Pelodiscus sinensis: one gene and its partners. The protein of the gene in region 2 interacts with the protein of the main gene of each other region in a biochemical or structural test. Links are inferred from orthologs where the notes say so. Each region holds a gene or a part of one and is shown on either strand. Other genes may lie near its edges.

The links.
Region 1: the proteins of AURKA (region 2) and GADD45A form a complex in vitro, tested with the Homo sapiens proteins (2 studies listed by BioGRID). The link is inferred for Pelodiscus sinensis from reciprocal best matches to the Homo sapiens genes AURKA and GADD45A.
Region 3: the proteins of AURKA (region 2) and USP21 form a complex in vitro, tested with the Homo sapiens proteins (2 studies listed by BioGRID, with this or other methods). The link is inferred for Pelodiscus sinensis from reciprocal best matches to the Homo sapiens genes AURKA and USP21.

The regions. Positions count from the first base shown.
Region 1 is NC_134719.1:19,582,766-19,586,510, forward strand, and holds the start of GADD45A (growth arrest and DNA damage-inducible protein GADD45 alpha), read left to right. Parts: upstream 1-823; 5' UTR 824-975; coding exon 976-1,019; intron 1,020-1,150; coding exon 1,151-1,252; intron 1,253-1,691; coding exon 1,692-1,911; intron 1,912-3,095; coding exon 3,096-3,209; 3' UTR 3,210-3,745. UniProt on the Homo sapiens protein: In T-cells, functions as a regulator of p38 MAPKs by inhibiting p88 phosphorylation and activity.
Region 2 is NC_134728.1:15,109,406-15,113,150, reverse strand, and holds the start of AURKA (aurora kinase A), read right to left. Parts: upstream 2,193-3,745; 5' UTR 1,833-2,192; intron 1,806-1,832; exon of another isoform or gene 1,719-1,805; intron 1,422-1,718; exon of another isoform or gene 1,119-1,421; intron 961-1,118; 5' UTR 956-960; coding exon 902-955; intron 1-901. Other genes in the region: CSTF1 (cleavage stimulation factor subunit 1), read left to right, coding at 3,306-3,452. UniProt on the Homo sapiens protein: Mitotic serine/threonine kinase that contributes to the regulation of cell cycle progression.
Region 3 is NC_134734.1:13,517,193-13,520,937, reverse strand, and holds the start of USP21 (ubiquitin carboxyl-terminal hydrolase 21), read right to left. Parts: upstream 2,684-3,745; 5' UTR 2,669-2,683; coding exon 2,535-2,668; intron 2,208-2,534; coding exon 1,406-2,207; intron 1-1,405. UniProt on the Homo sapiens protein: Deubiquitinates histone H2A, a specific tag for epigenetic transcriptional repression, thereby acting as a coactivator.

The DNA of each region.
Region 1 (3,745 bases), on a different chromosome or scaffold from region 2:
TAAATTTGTATGTGCACCAAGGCATGTGTGAATGTGCACCATCAGTAGAAACAAAAATCCTACCTGTGGGCACTCTGCTAGTCAGCTGGGTGGCCTTTGAATCTCTCCTGAACAAGACACACAAGCACACAGTTTACCGGGAACACTGGTGCTGGGCTCCCCCCACTTGCCCTTGTAAATCATCAGCTGCACTGAAATCCAGGGGTGCTGGGGACAGCACCCCTCCAAACGCAGCCCTATCGTGCATGCCAAAGGTCATGGGGCAGCAAAGGTGGCTTGAGTACCCAGGTCCCTCCCAGCCCATGCACTGTGACATCTGGGAGTCGGGTCACTGAAACGCTGCGCTGTGCAGCGCCATGCAGCACCTCGCTGCACATTGCACGCCAGCAGCTGCACTTGGCTTCCCCTAACCTGCTTACTAACCACTACTATTGTCCAGGCGCTTTGCGAGCATTAGCCCTGGCAACAGATTTGCACGGCAGCCCCTCCCCCCCCACACACACACGGGGAGCGGGGGGGGGGCGATGCACCGACTAGAAGCAGCCCACACAGGCAGCAAGCAGCAGGGATGATCGACAGCAGCGCCCTGCCACCGGGCAGACCCCGCCTCCCAACCCACCAGCCCCGCCAATCGGCGAGAGAGACGCCCCAGTCGTCACGCGCCCGGCTGCCCGGCCACCTCCTCTCGCCGGCGGGGCCCGGGCAAAGGGGACACGCAGTCCGGGAAACCACATTTGCATGGCCCAATGGGGCGGCCGCATGCAAATGAGGAAGGAGACGGTTGGCTGGATGTTGGCAGGATAACCCCGGCCGCGGCCGCCTTTGTCCCTCAGAGGCTGCTGCTGCGGCGCGGCTGGCGGGTGCGGGCGGCGCAGCCGGAGCTGGGGCAGCGCAGGGGTCGCGGCAGGGCCCCCGCCGGTGTGTCGCGAGGGGCGGGGCGGGCACGCTGCGGCCGGCGCCGCCTGCGGCTGCACGATGACTCTGGAGGAGCTGGCTCGAGAGCAGCAGGCGATGGGCAGGTACCGCGGCTGGGGGGGGGGGGGGGGCTCGGCACGGGGGCGGGGGGCGCTGCCTGTCAGCCGATCGCGGGGCCGGGGCGCTGCTGCCGGGCCGGCTGACAGGGGCCTCGGCTTGTGCTTGCTGCTCGCAGGATGGAGACGGCGGGGAGCGCGCTGGAGGAAGTTCTCAGCAAAGCTCTGACCCAGAGGAGCGTCACCATCGGCGTCTACGAGGCTGCCAAGCTGCTCAACGTGTGAGTGAGCGGCCCGGGGCCCCCTGCTGCTGTCTGGTAGCCCCCCGGGCAAAGGGGGGCACAGCCGGCTGCCCTGCCAGCCTGTGGAGCGAGCGGGTCCCCGCCTCATGCCTGGTTGCGGGGAGAGCACCTCAGCCCGTGCCTGGGCAGAGTGGGGAGCATCTGTGTGTGCTTGGGTGGAGGGGGGACACCCCGTGGGCACGGCCAGCAGGCACCTAGGGATGTGTCTGTAGATACTGTGTGTAGACAGCTCTCACCTTGTGAACATGCCTGTGCCCCTGGTTGCTTACCACCACCACCCCCATCCACCTTACAGAGTAGCTTCTGCATGTGTCCAAGCTGTGACATTGTGTATTGTTTCATTGGCGTGTGTCCGTGTTAAACATGACATTGGGCATTCATTGTGACTAATCGGTCTGTGTTGTTTCTTCCCTTGCAGGGATCCGGATAATGTGGTGCTTTGTTTGCTAGCTGCAGACGAGGAGGATGATCGGGATGTTGCTTTGCAAATCCACTTCACCTTGATCCAGGCTTTCTGCTGTGAGAATGACATTAACATCCTGCGAGTGAGCAACCCAGGCCGGTTGGCAGAGCTGCTGCTTCTGGGGGCGAATGGGGGAGCTGAGCAGCCTGCAGACCTGCACTGTGTGCTTGTCACAGTAAGTGACAATTCCATTTTCCCTCCCCCATAACAGGAGCACAAAAGACTGGCTGGCACAGAATTCCCTTATTGCTGCTTGGCTGGCTCTCTGAGGCCTATTCCTCACATTATTACAATGGGCTTCGCTGTTGAGATAAATCAAATCTGGGTTTGAATTTACACTTGCCACCCCCAGATGAGAGAGTGCTCAGACCTGGAACTTGGATCAGACCCATCCTGCCCTTTTCCCTACTTTATTTCCTGTACTAAGGTCATTGCACCGGAGCTGTTCCTGATTTGATCATAAAAGATCTTCCCGCTATGGACATGTTCAAACATGTTAGATCCTGTCAGCAGCAGCCTCCTGTATTTTTCTTTCCTTATTACAAATTGGCTCAGAGTAGAGATTAGATAGTGCAGAGTAGTTGATTTTAGAGTGAGAAGAATTTTTTCATTTAAAGTTCCAGCAAGGTTGAATACTTTGGTAATAATTTCTTAATTCTAACCCATGCTCAAAAGCTACCATGTAAATTTCTCTGGAGAAAAATAAGGTAATTACTCAACTATGATCTACCTGCTCTTTCGAGACAGCAGGAAAAAGGGTAGAGAATTTTCTGCTTAAAAAGTGGAGTAAATTTACGTGCATGCAACTCCTATTTCAATATTTTTCCCTATACAAAATAATTCTCAAAACACATGTTCATTATTCCCATTATGTGCAATACTGCACAAGAGTTACAAAAGTAATCTGAAGCAGTGTTCCACCTGTTTGTTTTGTATTTCTGGATTATAGGTTTAGATGCGGTAGCATAGGAGCAGTGTAATGTTCTTGAAGCTATTTTCCACAACTGCTCTACAATATCCTGACACTGTCATGAACCTCTGACAGAAATCTATGGGAATTGTGGCCTACTCTATATAATATTGTTTCAAATATACCAGATTATGAACGTGTGTGTATGCGGTATCATGAACACTAAAAAGAATCCCTATCAGTGTAGTCATGTATATACCAGAGGATTTCAAGAAACCTCTAAAGGATTTTAAATTATTTGTATCAAATTAAAATCAGGAGAAAGATCCAGCCCAGCTTTGCATTTGGATATTAGTTGTATATTAGTTAGTAGCACTATCTTTTTGCATTAGTGATTTTAAGACCATTCAGTTTTGTTTTAAAAAGCTTTTTTTTTTTTTTCCCCCCAGAATCCCCATGCATCTCAATGGAAGGATCCAGCATTGAGTCAGCTGATTTGCTTTTGCCGGGAAAGTCGCTACATGGATCAGTGGGTCCCAGTGATTAATCTCCCTGAGCGGTGATGGCATTTGGATGAAAACTAATTGAACAAAATTGCACTGAAATTTTGAAATACTTTAGTGGTTGGTCAGGAAATAAATCCCTATACCTGATGCAAGGATTACAAACAACTGATGTCAAATGGGTAGACTGAGATTGAACAACATGGTGTGTAGGGCTGAAGGAAGTTAACTTTATGGCTGCAAAGTCATGGGAATGAAAACAGAACCTGTGTTGAAAGAGTTATAAGCAAATGTCACTAAAGGAACTAAAAACCATGTAGGAAGATTTAAGAAGCTGCACAGTTGAGTTACTTTCGAAGTGCACCAAACATGAAGTTTTAAAACTGCAACTAGTAGTTTCTGGTTTAAAACACCTTTAATATGAAAGAGCAAAAAGGTTAATTAAAACTTTTTTTAAAAAAATTTATTGTATTTTGGGATGTTTATGCTCAAGGTTTTATGCTAAGATATACTAAGTTATTTTATGATATTGACAAAGATTTTATTTATGCTATGAACTTCAGAACCAGAATACCATTAAGCAACTCATATACAAC
Region 2 (3,745 bases):
GGAAGGGGCACAGGGTTACCTATGACAGCTCCTAGTCAGCAAGCAGCCACAGTGGGGGTGCTAAGGCAGGCTTCTTGCCTGTCCTGGAACTGCACATCACACCGCACCCAGAAGATGCCGGCACAGGCCCGGCTCCTAGGCAGGCAAGCATACTGCTCTTGCCCACAGACAACATTGCCCCACCCTGAGCTCTTGGTCAATGGAAGTGCAGAGCCAGTGTTTTTGGTGGGGGGCAGTATTCATAACCTAGTGGTCCTCTGCCTAGGAGCCAGATCTGCTGATGGCTGCTTCCAGGGCACAGTGCAGTACCAGGACAGGCAGGAAGCCAGCTTTAGTTCCCCTCCCACCCCCACTAGTCATCCTACAGCAAGGGGACCCAGTGCCTGACATTCAGTGGCCCAATACTGGATTGCAACTGGTAGTCTGAAAACCACTGCTCTAGACTAAAAAGAAGCCCTTTTTATTGTAGTATGGTGCTCAGAACTGAACACAATACTTCAGCCAGATCTTATCAATGTTGAGTGGGGTGGAAGAATTACATCTCGTGTCTTGAAATTTTTTTTTTAAATAGTGTAACAGCACTTTAAAGACTAACAAAACATGTAGATCTTGTGTCTTGTTTGGAACATTCCCACCAATACATCCCAGAATGGATTAAGCTGCCACCCCACAAGAAAACGTTTTAACACCTACGACATGTGAAAGCAATCTATATATAGAAGCTTTACAAGTTGTATTCACAATAGTGAGCTACTGACAAAGCAGCTTGGTGAATATTCCATGTCAGAGTATAATGCTTCAATACAAGAGTTGGATAATTATCTCAGATAATTTGTAGAATCTTTGTCTGATCATACCAAATAAAATGTGTTTGCCTCGCAAGTGTACAAGACTTCTTTACCTTAACACTGTGACCAGGAAGCCCATTGTGGTTCTCTTTACCATTTTTCTCCATGTTACCTAAATAGAGAACATTTAATTGCAGAGACATTATTAAATGGAAATTTTTATAAACAGAGCACCCTTCTTGTCACCCCCTACACTTCTTCCTCATGCCCCCCACCCCCTTACGTTCTGCTATCCTCATCCACACCACCACATCCAGTTTTCACACTCACGCTACTGGTAGTCTCCCACATCCGGTCCTGCTCAATCGCCTCTCGTTACCACCGGGAGAGTAGATGATGATGGTTCCCAGCCGCCAGAAAAATCCGAGTCTAGGAACCCCGTGTCCATTTCAGCTGCTCTTCCTCCTCGTACAACCCCCCGTCCCTGGATCCTGCCCCTCAAATCCAGCTCCTCGGACAACCCTCTCCCCCATTACAAGGCGTCACCTCCCCGCAGCTCCTGCTCACAAACTGCCTCAAAGGCAACTGCACAGGCCTCACAATTCCCCTTCTGCTGCAACGTTCGCCCACCTGCAGGAAACTCCCCGCCTGGGAAACCCTCCCTCGCTGCACCCCCTCCATAAACTGACCCCCCCCCCCGCTGCACCCCCTCCATAAACTGACCCCCCCGCTGCAACCCCTCCATAAACTCACCCTCTCCCCATCTGAGAAGCCCCCCCCCGCTGCAACCCCCCCAACTCACTCCCCCCCCACTCGAGAAGCCCCCGAACGCGGCCGCAATCGTACAGCCCCCAGGAAGCCCCGTTCCCCTCCGTCCCTACACTACAGCCCCCGAGGCGACCCCATCCCCAGCGCCCGAGGTCTCCTCACCGTCACCGCCGTCAGAGCAGTTTGAATTCAAACCGCCCTCCTAGCGATACCCTTTAAACCGCCGCCGCTCTCCATTGGCCCGACCAGCGCCCCGCCTCTGCTCCCCAGTCTCACCTCCCTCGCCGCGCAGCGTTGCCGGACACTAAACGCTGCTCGCCCCTGGCAGTGCTGCTGCACCACGGATGAAGCGTGTAGTCTCCAGTCACCCCCTGGGCAGGGCGGGATCCGGCTTCTGCTCAGCACTTTACCGCCTGTAACTAACTTAGCTCTCCCCCCGCACACACCGCGTAGTAGCGGTGAATAGCCCGTACAACAGATAATTAAACGATCGGCTGATGGAGATTTGGGTTTTTTTTTTGTTTAAGGTGCCCGCCCGCGGAGGCCCCCGACTGGTCTCGCTCAGCCACGTGAACACAAAGCGGCCTGTTACTCCAATCTGCTATTTTTAAAATTCAGATACATGATTGGCCTCCCCATCCCACGTGACCAGGGCCGCGGCCATTGGCTAACTTGAAGGGCGGGAAAAATCTTTGTGGAAGCGACGTGCTTGCGAGCTCACGCCCGCGCGGGGGTGGAGCTTCTTTTCAAAATGGTCGCCACGCTTCCCTCGCTGAGGGTCAGTTGGAAGCAACCATTTTAAAAAGACAACCCCCACACACACCAAACTTGGCAACTTCCACCCTCCCCCAAAATAAACCCTAGCGCGGGAAAACTGCAAGTCCAAATCCGCTGCTAGTAACTGCGTGGACAGGAGCTGGGCTGGAGAGACGCGATTTGCGTAAAGACCGAGCACGCGGTGATTGTGTAAAGTAAACTCCGTAACGGGCGCCTCCATCTACGAAACTAGCGGAAGAAGCGAGCGGCAACTGCTGCGTAAAGCACGCACGTCGCGTTAAACCCACCCTAGGGACTGCAAGGCGCGGCAGGCCGTGGGCACGCCTGCGCTCGAGCCGTGCCCGTGACGTGGGGACAGGCTCGCTCGGCGACCAGAGGCACGCTTCGGAACCAATCGGCGGGCGGCGCGGTTGAAGCGTAGCCAATCAGTGGCTCCTGGCCGGCCATTACGGCCCGGCGCAGAGAGCGTGCGCGGCGCGGCTGAGGGTGGAGACAGGGAAGGCTGCGCTAGACGGTGCTTAGACCCCCTGCTCTGGGGAGAGGGGCGGCTGTTGCCTTACGAGCGTGTCGCACCCGTGGCCGGGGACGTGGGATCCGTGGCCGTCGCGCGGGGACGTCAGGGGGTCACTGGGCAGCGTGTCGCGCCAGCGGTGACGTGCGGCCAGTGACGGGGCCCAGGGGGCTGTGAAGCGCAAACGCGAAGGAGACGCGGAGCCATCGTGTCGCACCGGCGGGGCCGTGGGCGCTCGAGCACCGACGCCAGCGGGCCGTTGGGCAGTGTCGTTGTACTTAGCGGTGAGGCGGCTCCCCTAGGACCGGGGCTGTCAAGGGGCCCTCGATCCATTGTGCGATCCGGCCTGAGGACAACGTGAGGCCTTTGGAGGCGTGTGCTCCAAGGCAGCTCCCCTTGCCCCCGCGCTCGTGAGGACAAGCGTGATTGTGGTCTCGGTGTGTGGCGCTGACGAGTGATCGATGGCGGCGAGGCCAGGTGTGAGGAGGCTGTCAGGCCGTCGCCTTCCCTCCGCCTGTGAAAGACGCCTGCTTCCCCGAGGCCTGAATAACGTGGGCCCCCTACCTCCTGAGCCACGGCCACTGCGGCTGCCTTTTCTAGAGGCTGAGGTGAGTTGGACCGCCTGTGGGGTGGGGTGGGGTGGGAGCTGTTCTTTTGGGATAGGCCCTCAGCTGATGCCCCCTGAAGTGCCTTGTCTGAAAGTGCCATCCTATTGTCGACTAAATTCTGCAGTCATCTTAGAGGCCTGGCTTCCTGCAAGGCTTGGGATGTGGGTGGCACATTGGCGATGTCATGCAGTATCCCTAGGCTTTCTAGTCTAGACCCAATAAAACGTAGCAGTTCTCCTGTCCAGTCTCCTGAGATCAAGCTGCTCTCACTCCATCAAAATAGGAATTGAACT
Region 3 (3,745 bases), on a different chromosome or scaffold from region 2:
CCCGGCTATTCCGGGCCCTGCTTGAGGCTCATCTCTGTGGGATTAATTAGCAAGGAGAACTACTCCGGAGACAGCAGGTGCTTGAAGAACCGTAGACCAGAGAAAGAAAATACAACCCAACAGTCATCGACCCTGCCGCAGGTACTGCGAGAGGGCTGGGGTGGGGAAGAAACCAGCTGCCCCAGGCCAACCTGCCTCAGGGCTGCCATAGTTCACTGGATTGCTAGGTGGGTGCACGCCAAGCTCTCGCTAGCCCTGCGTGGGGCAGCAGGCCATGCCTAGCGCTCAGCCCCACACCTGTGCTCACACAGATTAGGTAAGATTTCCTAGAGGGAACCGATTAGCAGTTACACTATCAGCTGGTGCTGGGTGAACACACCTGGGAGGTTCTTTTGCTAGGAAAGTTGAGGAGCTGCAGGCAGGGACTGAGGGAAAGTTCTGGGTCAGGACATGGGGGGATCTCAAAGTTTGGAGATCAAAATTTAGGCATTTGGACAGTTTGGGCCATTTTCATTACCTGGGGCAAAGCCTTGATACCAGGCCTGTTGTAGGGGACGGTCTGTGGTTTTGCCTCTCACTCACTGTCCCTCCCCCACCCGAGTGAGCAATCCACGAGTCTCAGCATCTGTTAACTTCACATGCAATCCCACCAGAGACTGACTCCACAAGCTGGCTCTCTGCGCTGCGCCCCCCCCCCCAGCGGATCAGTGGAACTCCCAGCTAAGGAGCAATGGAAGCCGTTCCTGGAGCAGCCAAAGTTGCTGCTGCAGGACAAGTCAGGGGCTTGGGGGCTGCTTGCTGACTTGCATGTTGTGCCCCCACTCAGTGGGCCCAAAGACCCTCCCCCCAGACATCCCGCAGGCCCAATTAGGACATTTTGATGCCACCCACTCCCCGCAGGTTTGCATGTGTATGGTAGCGGGCAGGAGGCTGCTGGGGGAAGCAGGGTGATTGTAGCCAGACAAGGGACTCAAAACAAAATAAAACAAAAAACAAAACAAAAATCACTCCACCTCCAAGCCCCAGCTGCAAATCTCGCTGAGGCACGTCACCCTCCCACTACCCCAGTGAACCTGGCCATTCTGCCTCATGGCATGGCTTTCTACTTGCCTGCTCCCAGGATCTCACCCACAGGTGCTGGGTTCTCATGGGAATGAGGAGGCTGGGGACAGCTTGGGGCAAACCAGAGAGCACTAAGCCTAGACTCCCACTGGCAAGTCAGGGCGGGGGCAAGGTGGGAGAAAGCCTCCCCCTCTTGAGGAAGCCTGAGACTGCAGCCCCCAAACATCAGGCCAGGCACTGTACCCTGCAGAGCCAGGTGGTGTCAGCAGTAACAGGGCCCATCCACCCCCATACAGGGAGGACTGCTACCCATCATGCTCAGTAGATGTCAAACCACTCTTACAACAGAAGCCTTCTCCTCAGGCCTGCTCGGAGCTGGAGACGGGACCTTGCCCTTGGGTGGGCTCCCAGCCACTGGCACATCCAGGGGGCGCACATACTCGGGGGCCTGAGGATTGGAGGTGTGAGTCCTGGAGCAGCCCTCAGTGCGGACAGAGAGCAACGTGGTCGCAGGCCTCCCATCCAGCGCAGGAGACACGTTGACCCTCCTGAGCGAAGTGCTCCGCTTCAGAGCCAAGTGCCCCAGGCCCAGCTTCTGGCTGCAGGATGGGCTGCGGTCCTGGAGCGTCAGGCGGCTGAGCACCGCGCTCGCCTCCTCCCCTCGTCCCCCTGCCTGGCTCAGGTCCCCAATGCTGATGGACTTGGAGCGGGCAAGGTTGCTCAGCCTACGCTCAGTGTCCCGTCCCACCAGTAACAAGGAGAAGGAGGCACTGCCTGACATGGTGCTAGCCTGTGGGGAGCTAGGCACCTTAACCGCATGGTCGGCCTTCACTGGCCCTCGCCTGGGCACCGAGCCACGCAGCATGTCACTGCGCTTCGAAGCGCGGCCCCTCTCGAGCTCCTGCTTCTTCCCCCGATCGTCCAGAGGGATGGGCCGGGGAGGCAGTGGGCGAATCTTGGGAGCCATGGAAAGCCCATTGGCCAGGGCAGGGGAGGCGGAGGCGTGGCGCTCCTGGCTCACGGCCCGGTGTCCATTCAGGAGCTTGGTGGTGGCCTTGGGCTGTGATGTGATGATCTGCTCTCTAGTCCGGCTGACCCGGTGTTCAGAGGCCTGGGGCATTGTAGAGACAATGGCAAGGAGAACTCTGGGGAGACAGAGGAGTCAACGCAGTGAGTCAAAGCCAAAGGCATGCTAACAGAGCACGGCTATCAGAGGCAAGACCCCAGACTGCCAGGCCCAGCTTGAGGAGGGCAGTGCAGTCTTGTGGGTTCAGCAAGGGAATGGGAGACCAGGCTCCAGGACAGCGGCACCAACTCTGTGTCACGCGAGTGAATTCTCTCTAACTCAAAGTTGACTAACTGCATTATAGGAAGCAGCAACCATCCTCTGCAGCAGCAGGTGCTGGTCACAGCTGAAGCATGGATGCTGGGCTGCATGGACCGGTGCTCAGAGGCAGCACAACTGGACGTACCTCTCACAAGCTGCGAGCGTCTCTTCCCCACCAGCACCAAGCTCACACCCCTCGGCGGTGGCTGTCCAGGTGGAGATTCCCATTGGCTGGGGCCCTAGAACACAAGATAGGATGATGCAGGCACAGGCTCCCATGGTAGTTTCATCCAGGACATCTGGCCACCAGAATCTCTGCAAAATCTTGAGAGGTGGCTGGGCCCAGAGTGGCTCAAACCAGTCCGTGTGCCCAGGGAAAGGGAGGAAGGGTCTCCAGTGAGACAGGCCCCATATGACTCCACCCACCAGAGTAGGATAGTGCACAGCTGGGCAGGAATGGCAGGGTATCCTCAGGAGGGTGAAGAGGGAAAGCCAGGCAGAGGCTCTCCCTATCCTGCAATACACCACCACCTCACACAGCAGAGAAAGAAGTGGCCGGGACTACCTGGAGGCAGCATCATGCCATCTACCCTCCTTTCTGCTCTGCTTCGAGGACAGTCACCCGAGACAGCCTTTCACTCCCCTTTCAGCAAGTTTTTAAGGCAGAGAGTTAACGGGCTCTGGTGCCTTCCAGCCAAGGATCCCAAGCTCCAGGCAGGTGTAACAAAGGATATGTTAACACTGCAGTTGAACCCCCTCCCCCCTCGGCTAGCCTGTGCCAACCGACTCAGGCTAAGGTGCTGCTGAACTGCAATGTGGAAGTGTAACTGTTTACATGGTTAACCAATGAGCTTGGGCATATCGATTAACATGCACGGTTACACACAGGGTGCGCGCACATGCGCACACACACCTTCCCCTCCCCCTGCTCCATGTAACCACGGACATTTTCAGTGGCTACCTGATTACATAATTAAACACATTTTAACATACCTAGTTCAGGCTCAGGCTGGAGCCCTGCCTGTAGAACCCTGCCAGAGCTGAGACTGCAGCCCAAGCCCAAATGTCAACACCACAGTTACGGAGCTCCGTTGCCCAAGCCCGGTGAGCTTGTATGAGCTGGCACAGACCTGCCATGCACATCTAATTGCACTGTTGACATACCCTCCGAGGCCTGGCCCTCTAACAGCAGCTTGGTCGTCTATGCAGAAGGAGCCATTGATCCTACTGCAGTTACTGAGCAGAGCCTACACTGCCAGGGGGCTCAGTGGGTGCCTTGTGACAGTCTGAAAGGCCAAGGCTGAGTAGGCCCTTTTGACCAGACTTCTCTCCCTGCAGAGGTCTCTCCATTGTCAA